Linked DNA regions of Macaca mulatta. The protein of the gene in region 1 purifies or fractionates together with the protein of each later gene. This does not show direct contact. Links are inferred from orthologs where the notes say so. Each region holds a gene or a part of one and is shown in the gene's direction. Other genes may lie near its edges.

What was found. The genes of interacting proteins can lie anywhere in the genome.
Region 2: the proteins of PTPDC1 (region 1) and PPP2R1B purify together in Homo sapiens (affinity purification with mass spectrometry; 3 studies listed by BioGRID and IntAct, counting the BioPlex papers as one, with this or other methods). This does not show direct contact. The link is inferred for Macaca mulatta from reciprocal best matches to the Homo sapiens genes PTPDC1 and PPP2R1B.

Annotation. Positions count from the first base shown.
Region 1 is NC_133420.1:124,657,036-124,664,615, forward strand, and holds part of PTPDC1 (protein tyrosine phosphatase domain-containing protein 1), read left to right. Parts: intron 1-1,594; coding exon 1,595-2,853; intron 2,854-5,835; coding exon 5,836-6,021; intron 6,022-7,580. UniProt on the Homo sapiens protein: May play roles in cilia formation and/or maintenance.
Region 2 is NC_133419.1:112,491,351-112,498,930, reverse strand, and holds part of PPP2R1B (serine/threonine-protein phosphatase 2A 65 kDa regulatory subunit A beta isoform), read left to right. Parts: intron 1-277; coding exon 278-433; intron 434-629; coding exon 630-744; intron 745-1,153; coding exon 1,154-1,224; intron 1,225-2,142; coding exon 2,143-2,277; intron 2,278-3,093; coding exon 3,094-3,267; intron 3,268-7,360; coding exon 7,361-7,421; intron 7,422-7,580. UniProt on the Homo sapiens protein: The PR65 subunit of protein phosphatase 2A serves as a scaffolding molecule to coordinate the assembly of the catalytic subunit and a variable regulatory B subunit.

The DNA of each region.
Region 1 (7,580 bases):
CATATGTATTAAAACATCACTATATACCCCATAGATATGTATAATTATTATGTCAACTTTAAAAACTAAATCAAAAATAATTTTAAGGTATTTGAAATACCATAAACAGATAGTTACAATGACCATATGTATGTCATTTTAAAGTCTTTAGCAACAATGTGAGTTGGAGAAACTGCAATTTGAGAGAAGTAATTGGCTACATTTAGTAAGTGCCAGGGCCAAGCTGTAATCCGTGGTTGTCTGACTCCAGAGTTCATGTGCTTTCCATTTTTGGAGGTATAAGGGTTTTGTTTGTGAAGAAGAGTCTATCTGTGCCTAGAATTCTATTAAAAAGTCAGTGATTTGACTTAAAACATTCAGCTCAATTTCATTACAGTGCTGATATTAGGGCAAAAATAAAGGCTGTAGGGCTGAAATTTTCATCGTCATCTGATCCAACCACATGCAGCTCAACTCTGTCCACAGTATACCCAGTGTACCTGTGCTCCTGCCAGGGGTCTGCCGCATACCTGGAAGCGTGCTCAGGGGAGGAGACTCAGCTCTGCTTGAGATTGGTAGCTCTTAGGATCAAGCCAAAATCTCACTGTTTGTAGACATTGACATGATAGCTCTGCAGACATTTTACATTTATACTAAGATCTTCTGTGTCCTAGTGAGAAAGATATGTTATTCCCGACTGTGAACTGGAGAGCATGCAGTTTTCAGAGGTTCTGATTTTCATATGTAACAAGATGTTCACAAACTTGGGGATCACACAGGTGTATTTGATTTGCCTTTTACTTTAATATTGACTGTTACATTTGAATTAATTTATTATTACCTTTTCACTAGTAATTATTACCTTTTAACTAGTAATAATCTTACTAGTTATTCCTTTTAATTAGATGTTAATGAGAGTACATAATGTTTATACCATTAAGGCTGGCTTCCTTAAGATTGCTTAATTTTCCATAATTGCTTATGGAAAAATAGACTTATATCATGGTCTGAAGAAAAACACATATTAATATAGGCACAAATCTGGAAAAAGAATTGCCAGGAGGAAAAGTAGGCTGTGAATATGAATAATCCCCAAAGAAGAAACTGCCATGGTAGGGAGAGTGCCAAGCTGGGATGTGCCAGCAGTTGATGGCAAAGATGGCAGGGTGAGAGGTTCCAAGCACAAAGTGTATGGATTGACTGGATGGAAATTCTCAAGAGCTGTTCAGAGTGGAAAATAGAAACAGGATTTGCTTTCTTCTGTTGGAGTTGAGTAGAACAAGGATAGATGGGCCAGATGATCAGTTTCCCTTCCCTCCTGCACACTTACTCACCTGCATTGTGCTTGTGCTGGCACAGCTCTGGGCTACTGAGATGACTCAGTCATGGGGAGGGGGTGCCACGTAGACATTTAATAAAGTTCTGCGCAGTAAGGAACATGCAATAATAACACCTCTACAAAAAGTCACAAAGTTATCATCATAATTGTCCTTAAAATGTGTCTCTATGTATTTGATTTCTTAATGCATATTCAAATTGTAAATCATCAAAGAGCGATAAATAAAATAAAAATGTAAATTTTTCTCATATTAGTCTTCTCTTCTTCACTATTTAGGTGTCTTAATAGCCTGTTACTTAGTTTTTGCAACAAGAATGACTGCTGACCAAGCAATTATATTTGTGCGGGCAAAGCGACCCAATTCCATACAAACCAGAGGGCAGCTCCTCTGTGTAAGGGAATTTACTCAGTTTCTAACTCCTCTCCGCAATATATTCTCTTGCTGTGATCCCAAAGCACATGCTGTCACCTTAGCTCAATATCTAATTCGCCAGCGTCATCTGCTTCATGGTTATGAGGCACGACTTCTGAAACATGTGCCAAAAATTATCCACCTAGTTTGCAAATTGCTTCTGGACTTAGCGGAAAACAGGCCAGTGATGATGAAGGACGAGTCCGAAGGACCTGGTCTCTCTGCTGAAATAGAAAAGACCATGTCTGAGATGGTCACCATGCAGCTGGATAAAGAATTACTGAGGAATGACAGTGATGTGTCCAACCCGCCTAACCCCACTGCAGTGGCAGCAGATTTTGACAATCGAGGCATGATTTTCTCCAATGAGCAAGAGTTTGACCCTCTTTGGAAAAGGCGGAATGTTGAGTGCCTTCAACCCCTTTCTCATCTGAAAAGGCGGCTCAGCTACAGTGACTCAGATTTAAAGAGGGCCGAGAACCTCCTGGAGGAAGGGGAGCCTCCACAGACAGTGCCTGTCCAGGTCTTGGTTGGCCACAACCCCAGGCAGCAGAAGCGCATAAGCCATTGTTACATCCCACAGTCTCCAGAACCAGACTTACATAAGGAAGCCTTGGTTCGCAGCACACTTTCTTTCTGGAGTCAGTCTAAGTTTGGAGGGCTGGAAGGGCTCAAAGATAATGGCTCACCAATTTTCCATGGACGGATCATTCCAAAGGAAGCACAGCAGAGTAGAGCTTTCTCTGCAGATGTTTCAGGCCCACACAGCCCTGGGGAACCAGTTTCACCCAACTTTGCAAATGTCCGTAAGGATCCAAACCCTACTCACCAGCAAGTGTCTCACTGTCAGTGTAAAACTCATGGTGTTGGGAGCCCTGGGTCTGTCAGGCAGAACAGCAGGACACCCCAAAGACCTCTGGACTGTGGCTGCAGTCTGAAAGCACAGTTCTTGGTTGAACATGAAACCCAGGACAGTAAAGATCTGGCTGAAGCAGCTTCACACTCTACATTACAGTCTGAATTGAGTGCTGAGGCAAGAAGAATACTGGCGGCCAAAGCTCTAGCAAATTTAAATGAATCTGTAGAAAAGGAGGAACTAAAAAGGAAGGTAGAAATGTGGCAGGTATTATTAGTACTTTATTTAATTATAGATATGTTGGAAATATGTCAGGGCAAAAGTGTAATACATTTTCCCAAACTTATTTATTATAGAAATGTGAAGATACGTTTGCATAATACTTAACTTTCAAACTTCAGGTTTCTCATCTCTGATGCAAACCTGATGTTTTAGAAAAAACACAGGATGTTTGTGTGGTTTCATTTAAATCTGCATATGCAAGAAAGCACTTGGTACGATGCTTGACCCACACAAGGCATTGATATTAGTAGCTTCTTTCTTTCTTCCTGGGTCTATGGGGGCAACTGGCCCACAGCAGACAGCATTCGAAACTGACTTGAAGCATCTTTAACCTGAGATCTGGCAGAGGGAACCATACTTTGAGAACCACTGACCTACAGACATAAATAAAATAGTTATTTTCCAAAGCTCATCAATACTAGTGCTGAGCAAGGTCAGAAAAGTGAGGCTGTCTCCTTGGCATCCCCTCCTTCAGACTTGCCAATCCCGCTCTAATAGGGCAACTATGGGAAATCAGGAGAGCAAGTGGGTGGAACCACAGATTCCTACGTGCCATTCACTTTGGCTGAGATGAGGTCTTTGGGGTCCATTTCTTAGCTTTTACTTCAATTAGAATGTAAATTTTTAACCCTTTTTTGTGTTGTGCTTTTACTAGGATACAGTCATAAGTCAGCCATACTTTCTTTGCCCTGAATGAGCGAGCACCTGTTCTCGAGAAAAGATAGGCCTTATAAACCTAGCTATCAGAAACAGCTAAACTAACCCAAAAGGGGGCTGACTTGGACTGTCGTGAATCACCAAAATCTTGACTTTTGAGACCATAACCTACTGTGAATTATTTTAATAGCTCGCTTTCATAGTCTGCCATTGATTAAACAAGGCATATACAATTTCTGAGTGCCAGTATCTCTTCAGGTGCAGAGGCATGAAAAATAAGTTTGGAGCTTCACACTAACTTACAACTATATAATGGGAGGAGAGAACTTTTGGTAAAAATTTTATTCTTCAGAATTGTGTTTTGCCTATCCAATAGTTAAATGTATTGCTTTCTTCCAAAATGACTTGTTTTCTTTATTTTCTGCTCCAAACTGAAAAAGTCTTTCATTCAGTCAGCAAATGTTTCCTGGGCATTACTGTGTGTTAAGAGTTAGCAAGCAAGAGAGTCTTCTATTTTAGATGAAAATCTCGCACCCTCACTCCTGGGTCAGCCCCAGTGGCTGTGCGAGCTCTGCCTGTGGTGATGAAGTGTTCAGGACTTGGTTTGGGCCAGACTGTACGTAGAGTATATGAAAGCATTTTCTGGAGGTGAACACAGACCTTTAATGAGGATAGTTTTGTGTTTTTTTTTCCTTTCTAGATTTTATTTTAGGACTTTTAGTCATCAAAAAATCAGCTGAATTCTGGAAAAGAATAAAATGAACATTATTTGAATAGTATAATGCCATCCATGCCTGTACTAGACCATTTCACATATATTATTTCATGTGATTTTTCACAGTTATCATAGAACATATCTGTGAGGCAGATGATACTATTTCTACAGTCTTTGTTAATCTTATGAATTCAGTGTCACAGATGAGGATGCTAAAGGTCACGAAGGTTAGAGGGTAAGTGACTTGCTCAGGGTCACATGGCGTGCATGTGGCAGAGTCAGGGTACAGCTCATGTGTTTAATACTTTCCATTATCCCAGGATTCTTGGCTAACCTCACTGGAAAGCCTCAGGAAACATCATGATAAGATAGTCATTTTACTAAGAGGGTTTTTGAGTAGTGTCAGTTCTGCCCAGATTGTCTGCTTCATAAGATTGAATCAAGAGCTACTTTGTTTTATACATGATCTATGGAATAGGAAGGACTGTCAATAACAATGTATTGGCGTATTCATAAGATAATAAAAACAAACCCAGTACCAGAGGGCCCTTGTGGTGTAACAGAAACAGCACAGACTCTGGAGTAAGACAGAACTGGGTATGAACACCCCCTTTGCCATTTTCTAGCTTTTGGCTCGTAGGTGAGTTATTTCATCTTTCTTGAGCCCCAATGCATTTACCGGTGAGGAAGCTCCCTGCTGGGTGCCGTTTGAGAGTTAGAGATAAGACAGGCATTACAGTTTCAGTCCCACTGTGTGCATGTAGTAAATATTGGATAGGTGAATGAACGAGTGAATGGTAGCAATTATTACACTTACTTCTATTGTAAAAATGTATTTGACTCACTGAAACATAAATCTGAACCCTATCAGAAATTCATTAAAATCCTTATCTCACTTTTCCTTTGCTCTCTGTGAGGTAAAGTTTTAAAATCTCATGCTTAAATTTTCTCTAAGCAATTGGAGTATCAGAAAAACTTTCCAGTTATTTTCCCTATGTCAGATTTCAGGCTTATTGTTAAATCCTACATAGGATTCTAAAAAGATATTTCAAAGAAGTACATATGCCCCATTTACCAACTTTCAAGCACCTTCATTTTATTTTTGCAGACTTCGAAGCTCAGTCAAAGCCTTTCCTTAGACCCCAGGTTAATGTATAAATGTTCCCTTATTTCTACTTTTTTGTCTACCATCTACTTTATTGCAAAAAATAGTTCTGTTTTGTTCACCAGAAGCCTGAAAAGGAAGGCTCTTCTGAACTGTTTCTGTGGTTTCTGAATAAAGTAGAGAACTTGGATTAACTAAGCCCTTTCTCTGTGCTAAAAGCTTTAACCGACCTTATCTCAGTCAGCCCAACAACTTGTGAGGCAAGGGATGAGTTTCATAGAGAGAAACTGAGGCTCACAGAATTCAATGTCTTAGTCCAGTGTCCATCCTGGAAGTAGAGAGGCTGGGAGGGGTCCCCGTTCTGCACCCGAGAGCCTGAGTCTTTCACTCTCGTGGGCAGTGCGAGAATCATGCAGTGTCAACTGGTGCACCTCTCTCTCCTCTCCCTGTCTCTATCTCTGTTTGTCTGTCTCTTTCTCTTCCTTTTTAGAAAGAGCTTAATTCCCGAGATGGAGCTTGGGAAAGAATATGTGGCGAGAGGGACCCTTTCATCCTATGCAGCTTGATGTGGTCTTGGGTGGAGCAACTGAAGGAGCCTGTAATCACCAAAGAGGATGTGGACATGTTGGTTGACAGGCGAGCAGATGCCGCAGAAGCACTGTTTTTATTAGAGAAGGTAAAGTGGCTGTAGGACCAGTTAATGACTGTAACTGAAGCCCTTAGTTTTTCACGCAGAAAAAAAAATCCATTATAAAAAAGGGAATTCATACAGAACCCCAAATCTAAGTCTAATTTAATAGTTTTTCTAAGAGAAGAGAAGAAACTGATACCCAGTGTAAACGCTTAGAAAATACAAAAATAAAAAATAAAAAGGAGAACTATCCATAGTCCTGGGAGAGGCACTGCAAACATTTTCAAATCTTTTAAACTTATCAATATGTATATTAACTTGTTAAAAATCATTTTAACATGTAAGTTTGTTTCATTTTTGCTTAAAGTTATAGCTGTTTTCCCACAAATAACACAAGCTTTTCATAAATATTGACTGTAACAGATATGATGCTATAACACGAGACTGTGCCATAATTAACCACTTTTTCATTGTTGGGTGTTTGTTTCTACTTATTTGCTGTGAGCATGCATATGAGAAAAATTATGAAGTAGGTTGGGATATGCACTCATTCGTATTTTTAAAAAGGGGTAGGTGTCACACATACATGTATATGTAATTTGTATGTGTAAAATACAGATGTTTTCTATATTTTATGTATAAAATATATATGTTTAAAATGGAGAAAATATGTATATATGTATAAAATATAGAAGGAGAAATAAGAAACTGGTAATAGTGATTACCTTTAGGAAAAGATATTAGAAGACAATGGATCTAGGAAACAGGAGAAATTGTATGAATCTTTTTATACAATTTATCATTTTTATCCATACAGTGATACTAAATTTTCAGTTTAAAATAGGCTTTGTTTTTGTTTTGGTTTGGTTTTTTTTGAGACAGTTTCGCTCTTGTTGCCCAGGCTGGAGTGCAATGGCACGATCTCAGCTCACCGCAACCTCTGCCCCCTCGGTTCAAGCGATTCTCCCGCCTAGCCTCCCAAGTAGCTGGGATTACAGGCATGTGCCACCATGCCCGGCTAATTTTGTAATTTTAGTAGACAGGATTTCTCCATGTTGGTCAGACTGGTCTCAAACTCCCAACCTCATGTGATCCGCCCACCTCGGCCTCCCAAAGTGCTGAGATTACAGGCGTGAGCCACCGTACCAGGCCTGTTTTTGTTTTAAGAAACAATGTTATCGAATAACCAACCTTGAGTTACCTACTATGCTGCATGTAAACATCTCCTCAGTTTCTAAATTTCACTAAAAATCTTCTGCTGTTACTACACAGACACACACACACACGGACACATATGGATGGATGCACACACAGACATACAGATACATGCGCTCACACACATGTACACAGATACAATACACAATACACAGACATGTGCGTGCCTGCACACACAGACACTCACACACCACAGTTACCCAATACACATCTTTTAAGAAATAATTTTTCCTGTATCTGAAGTCCTTTTCTTAGGATATTTTCTCAGCAATTAAATCACAAACATAAAACAGGAGATGATGAGAAGGGAGATTAATGTTTGGTAGGTGACTGGGCCAAGCCCTTCAGGACATAATTTGCATTTTCTCTTCTGTTTATCTCAATACCCC
Region 2 (7,580 bases), on another chromosome or scaffold:
GCATGCCTGTAATCCCAGCTACTCAGGAGACTGAGGCAGGAGAATTGCTTCAGCCTGGGAGGCAGAGGTTGCAATGAGCCGAGATTGTGCCACTGCACTCCAATCTGGGTGACAGAGTGAGACCCTGTCTCAAAAAAAAAAAAGATGTCAAGACAAGGAACTATATAAGGTGCGGCAGTCGTGGTGGTGTTTATTTTTTTAAACACCCTCATCACCCCACAGCAGTTCCCCATGGGTCTTGGTAAATGTCTGAATTACAGAAATTTTGTTCCTTTAGGATTCAGTGCGCCTCCTAGCTGTGGAAGCTTGTGTCAGTATTGCCCAGTTATTGTCTCAGGATGACCTTGAGACTTTGGTGATGCCTACACTTCGACAAGCAGCAGAAGATAAATCTTGGCGAGTTCGCTATATGGTGGCTGACAAATTTTCAGAGGTAAAATGATCATTTTTAGGTACTAAGGAAATAAACCTGAACACCCATAGATTTGCTGTCGTACCCAAAGTTTCTGAATTCTTTTCAGTGGGAAGTGTTGTGGCAAAAATATGTACTTACAGATTGCACAATTTTGTTTTGTTCTTGTTAATTCTTTTGTTATTATACATTAAAACCCGTTCAAATTCTTTTATAGCTCCAGAAAGCCATGGGTCCTAAAATCACCCTAAATGACCTCATCCCCGCCTTTCAGAACCTACTTAAAGACTGTGAAGCTGAAGTCCGGGCGGCTGCTGCCCACAAAGTAAAAGGTTAAGGAGTTCAATTTATGTTGGAACATGTGTTGTTTATTTTGGTGCATTTCTTTTTGGTGAATTTTGCATGTTTTTTGTTCTAGAATATGTTTTTAAAATACATAGGGATGTTTTCAGTGTGTGGAAATGTCACATTGTCACATAAAGATAATCCCTTTATGTTTAAAACCAATAAATCATTTTGTCTTGTTTTTGTAAAAGAAAATGCTTTTCAGATTGGATTGGTGTGATACGCAGTGGCATAAGGATTTCATGAAAAAAGTGTATTTAGAACAAGAGCTATTTTCCTTATCTGCTTAAACATATAATGTAATTGAAATTGTTGATAAACCTGGTTAAATGTCCTCATTTGGCTCTTTGTAAATGGCCCTGTGAAAGCATTCTTTTTTTTCTATTTATCTTTTAGAACTTGGTGAGAACTTGCCCATTGAAGATAGAGAGACCATAATTATGAATCAGATTCTGCCCTATATAAAGGTAAACCTGACTTTAGTTTATTTTGTTTCACTCTGATTTGCATAAAGGTAAACCTTAATCTCATTTTTTTTGTTTGTTTGTTTACCTTAAAGCTTTTTGAGTTTAAAGGTTGATAGGGAATGAATGGGGAAGATGTGTTAATGTGCAACATTGTTATTTATCACTTATTAGCCTATTGTAGTTGTAAAATGCTCTTTGGTGCATAGGTTTATGTTACCTAACTAGTAGTCTGAGGAAACATTATCAACTAATCAATATTGAAATAGTGCTGTCTTTAAATTCCTTGGGGTCGGGCATGGTGGTGCATGCCTGTAATCCAAGCACTTTGGGAGGCTGAGGTGGGAGGATTTCTTGAGCCCAGGAGTTTGAGACCAGCCTGGGCAACATAGTGAGACCCCATTGCTACAAAAAATACAAAAATTAGTTGAGCCTGGTGGCATGCACCTGTAGTACCAGCTACTTGGGAGTCTGAGGTGGGAGGACTGCTTGAGCCCAGGAGGTTGAGATGGCAGTGAGCTATGATCATGCCACTGCACTCCAGCCTAGGTGACAGGATGAGACCCTGTCTCAAAAAATTCAGGCCATCTTGGTGGCTTACACCTGTAGTCCCAGCACTTTGAGAGGCCAAGGTAAGAGGATTGCATGAACCCAGAAGTTCAAGACCAGCCCTGGCAATATAGTGAGAACCTGTCTCTACAAAAAATAAAAAAAATTAGCCAAGCCTGGTGGTGCATGTCTGTAGACCCAGGTACTCTGGAGGCTGAAGTGCTCGAGCTGGGAGGTTGAGGCTGCAGTGAGCCAAGGTCATACCACTGCACTCCAGCCTGGGCAACAGAGCAAGACTCTGTCTCCCAGAATAATGGTATGGAAGTTTCTGCTGTCTTGTAATAAAGGCTTTTAATTTTGATTTTATTTTAGGAATTAGTATCCGATACCAATCAACATGTCAAATCGGCTCTAGCTTCTGTAATTATGGGATTGTCTACTATTTTGGGCAAAGAGAATACCATTGAACATCTTCTACCTCTTTTTTTAGCTCAGTTAAAGGATGAGGTGGGTCTTGCTTTATGTTCTGTTGCCTTTGATAGTGATTTGATTTGATTTGATTTTGGTTTGGGGTTTCACTAAAATAGAACCCCCAAAAAGAAAATGGATAAAAAAATCATAACTTATTTTAAACCAATGACAACACCTGTGATTTTGGTTACAGGGTTATAGGTTCCTCAGAAAGTGGGCACGAGGACCCATTAAAGTAAACCTAGAAATGTTTATCACCTTCACCTGACTTTTGTTTTATACTTCCTGGTTCCTTTAAAGCTAATGTGTCTTTGTTTAAAAAGTTTCTTTTATTTGAGTTTAAATATAGTATCCAAAATTATAATGATACCTAATATTTACTGAGTACTGCGTGCCAGGCATGAGCCTTAGTGCTTTGCATATATTTTTACATGTAATTCTCACAACAATCCTATGAGTTAGGTCTTATTATTCCATTTTACAGATGAGAAAGCTGAGGCCCAGAGGGTTAAAGTAACTTGAGCAAAGTCTTTCAACAATGGCAGATCTGAAATTTGAGTGCATCGATTTAATTCCAAAGATTATGCTCTTTACCATCTTTTAGACTTTTCTTGTAGTCATTAGTCTTACAGACTTTTCATTGAAATTTCTGATTAAGATCATTTATGTTCCTTGAGTTATTTATGTACTCTCTATTATTTCTTCAAGATTATCCTTTTTTTTTTTTTCACCTGAGTCAGTACTTTGTAATTTTAAAACTTACTTAGCAGTTTTTATCTTATCCTGACAGGAGACTGTTGGGCACAGTACTTGATTTTTATATGTGGTCTTTTGGGGCTTGTGTGCTTGCAGTGTCCTGAAGTTCGTTTGAATATCATCTCCAATTTGGATTGTGTAAATGAAGTGATTGGAATCCGTCAGCTCTCTCAGTCTCTCCTTCCTGCCATAGTGGAGCTGGCTGAAGATGCCAAATGGAGGGTCCGGCTGGCCATCATTGAGTATATGCCGCTGCTGGCAGGCCAGCTGGTGAGTATGTGTTGCTCCATGAACTGCAGGGTAGTGTCAAATAGTGACAATTTACCTTGGCAAGTAGGAGGCCTAGTAGCCTGTATGCTTACGTTTGTTTAGATGCATGAAAGTATGGCCTTGTTCTTGTTACCTGTGGGATGGTTTTTATGTTTATTAGTGCATAAATTTCTTTTTTTTTTAAGATGGAGTTTCACTCTTGTTCCCCAGGCTGGAGTGCAATGGTGCGATCTCAGCTCACTGCAACCTCTGCCTCCTGGATTTAAGCAATTCTCCTGCCTCAGCCTCCCAAGTAGCTGGGATTACAGGAATGTGCCACCACACCCAGCTAATTTTGTATTTTTAGTAGAGATGGGGTTTTACCACATTGGTCAGGCTGGTCTTCAATTCCTGACCTCAGGTGATTCACCCGCCTTGGCCTCCCAAAGTGCTGGGATTACAGGTGTGAGCCCCTGTACCCGGCCTATTAGTGCATAAATTATAGGTTGAGTATCCCTCATCTAAACATGCTTGGGACCAGCATTTTTGGGACCAGAAGTGGATTTTGGAATATTTGTGTTATAAATACTTACTGGTTGAGCATCCCAAATTCAAAAATCCAAAGTCCAGAATGCTCCAATGAGCATTTCCCTTGAGCATCATATTGGTGCTCAAAAAGTTTTGGAGTTTGGAGCATTTCACATTTTGAATTTTTGGATTTGGGATGCTCAGTCTGTATTACAGAAACATATTTCACCTCATCACCACCAAAAAACAAAGCCATAGAATAATAAGATCAGTTTCTTGGCATATATAATGTAAATTTTATAATATTTAATGCCTTTGTGACTTAAGAAATATTTAACTGAGAAGAAAAGGGATGGTTTTAGGGTAAGTCTGATGTGACTTTTGCTCAAGGAAACTTCCCTGTTTGCCTTGTATTCTAAGTAAAATGTCCCTAGGTACCACTTGCCCTACATTCTGATTAAAGGGAGATGAGGAATCACCATATAAAAAAGAAGTACTGAAAGGCCGGGCACAGTGGCTGACACCTGTAAACCCAGCACTTTGGAGGCAGAGGCAGGCGAATCACTTGAGGCCAGGAGTTCCAGACCAGCCTGGCCAACATGGTGAAACCCCATCTCTACTAGAAATATAAAAACTAGCTGAACACGGAGGTACATGCCTGTAATCCCAGCTACTTGGGAGGCTGAGGCAGGAGAATCACTTGAACCCAGGAGGCGAAGGCTGCAGTGAGCCAAGATCACGCTACTGCACTCCAGCCTGGGCAACAGAGTGAAACTTTGTGTCAAAAAAAAAAAAGTTAGTATTTTGGTCAAAGTCCACATTATCACATTATCTGTTACTGTTTGAGTGTCATGATTAGTTTTACCCTAACTAATCCCATGTTAGATAAAATTTCAAAGCTGGGTTTTATAGCCATATCCTTTCCTTTTTTTGAGTAGGTGACCTTGACTTTTCTAAGTTTGATGTACCTTTATCCCTGTCGGTAGCACTTATTACACAGTATTGTAATTGTCTGTTACAGTCTAGTTGGAGAGATGGGTGATCTCTCAATGGTACCCTAACATAGTGCCCATAATTAATTAGGCACTTAACATTTTTTATTTTGGGGGGCAGGGTCTTGCTGTTGCCCAGGCTGGTCTCAAACTCGTGGCCTCAAACGATCCTCCTGCCTCAGCCTCCTGAGTAGCTGATAATAGGCATGAGCCACTATGCATGGCCAACATTTGTTGATTGTTGAGTATTTTTTGAGAAAGGTGTGTCAGTTTACTATTGATATCACTACAATTTGTTTCCCCTTCCTCACTCCCACTTCCATTCCTTTCAGGTCACAGCATGTGGAATTTGTTTTTTCTTTTCTTGAACCCCTGAATTTGTATTGTTAATTTTAGTACATTTAGTTTATGAACATGCATTATGTGAATGTCTGTGGCATTATATGTTTTATAAAATTGAAAGTATCCGATTCTTTGAAAAGGATACCAGACATATTAGTGCATAGCGAATGGGATCAGGTGAAGTTATTTTGTCATCCTTTTCCTCTGTCACTCCGAAGTGCTATGAGTCATCTTCTCTTCACTGGTGATTGTCATGGATCTACTCTTCAGAGTGGAGAGGAGCAGTGGTTAACTGATTTGCTGAAGATCAAAACTGTCTGGAAGACAGGCTGCATTTTAGTACCATTTCTTTTAACCTCTGCTCCTTCTAGACCTGGAAAGTTTCCCAGGGTTGCCAGCTCTATAGAGAGCAGTGTGAAAACAAGGCAGATGGTGTCTTTGGCTGACTTACACCTGTCTGGCAGGGGTAACATGCCTCAGTCATGAACATTTTGCTTTACAATTTTAACTACTTGTTAGTATATATATTCTCCTTAATTTTTCTTTATCTCTAAATGTTTTTATATCAGATAGTCAATTTATAAAATTCTCTCAAGACTTTATGTATGACCTGGCTTGTGGACCATGGTAAGTAAGTATAAAATTAAACTGCAAAAACTGGAAAGTAGGCCAGGCATAGTGGCTCGCGCTTGTAATCCCAGCACTTTGGGAGGCCGAGGTGGGTGGATCACGTGAGGTCAGGAGTTCGAGACCGGCCTGACCAACATGGTGAAACCCCATCTTTACTATATAGAAGATTAGCCAGATGTGGTAGTGGGCGCCTGTTACTTGGGAGGCTACTTGGGAGGCTGAGGCAGGAGAATCGCTTGAACCCAGGGGGTGGAGGTTGCAGTGAGCTGACATTGCGCCGCTGCACTCCAGCCTGGGTGACAGAGAGAGATTCTGTCTCAACAACAACAACAAACTGGAAAATAAAGATTAATTAAAACTGAAGGAAAATTCTCAACCTGAAATGAAAAAGAAATCTTGGCTGACGTAATCTAAGTGTATGCCAAAATTAGTTCATTAAGATCTTTTAATACAAAGCAATTTTGGGCCGGGTGCAGTGGTTCATGCCTGTAATCCCAGCACTTTGGGAGGCTGAGGCGGATGGATCACTTGAGTCAGAAGTTAAGAGACCAGCCCGGCCAACGTGGTGAAACCCCGTCTCTACTAAAAATGCAAAATTAGCTGGGCATGTGCTGCACGCCTGTAATCCCAGCTACTCGAAAGGCTGAGGCAGGAGAATCACCTGAACCCGGAAGGTAGAGGTTGCAGTACGCTGAGATAGTGTCACTGTTCTCCAGCCTGGGGCAATAGAGTGAGACTGTGTCTCAAACAAAACAAAACAAAACAAACACTATTTTGTCTTAATAACTGTTTTCAAAGCACTGAAACATTATATTACCTCTCTTTATTTAAAATATAGAATCACCGTCAGGAACTTCTTAGAGTTCAAAGAAGCAAGACTGTAAACGTGTAGACCCCAGAAGGGAGGCACTAGGAACGTATATGTCACAGCATTCTCCCATGTGGTGTGGAAGCCCCAGGGTGAGAGGACTGTGTAAATCGGCTCCCGGAGCCCATCCCCAACCTGCACTGAAGTGGCCACCTGTTGACCGTTGGGAGGAACAGGGCTGGGAGAGCAAGCCCTGCCTGGGCTATATCCCCTGTAGTCCTGGGCCTGCTTTATTCTCCCTCCAGGGCTTTCTCCTGTTGTCTCAAAAATACTGTCTTTAATTGGGGATATCTCTGTGTCTTGAGGTCAGTTGCTTTATCGCTAAGGATTTGTCATAATAGTAACCAAAAAGGGAAGACAATTGAGAATTAGTAATATTACCGACAGGTGTTTTCCTGGGTAATTCATTTTTACAGGTAATCCAGATTTGCTTGGCAGACCATCCACAGTGAATTCTTCCTGCTCTTTTGCAGTGTTGTGACTGGCTTCTGGCCACCCTGTTCTCTTTCACCTAGCAGGGCCTGTGCCAGCTCACGTATGCTTTTTGTTTGTTTGTTTATTATTTCCATCCAATAAAATAGATTTATGGTTTGTTTGTAATTCCCATGGTGTTTCCTTTCTGTCTCTTTCATGAATTCAGTTTATTTGAAAACAGCTTTTTTTAGCCTTCAGGTAATCTTGGTGTAATGTAAATAGACCATCTTTATTTCTGAATTTTGGCAAAGTATATTAATGGAATCTTCTGTATCTGTAGGGTGTGGAATTCTTTGATGAAAAGCTGAATTCTTTATGTATGGCTTGGCTTGTGGACCATGGTGAGTAGATAAAAACAAATTATTGAAAGCCTATATATCCATGATGTTCATACATTTCCTTTTAGAAAGGAATCTCAGTCTGACCAGATATTTTGCCTTAATACTGTAGGAATGAAGAAAGGCTCTAATTAAAGTTTAGTCTTCTGAATATAAATTTGA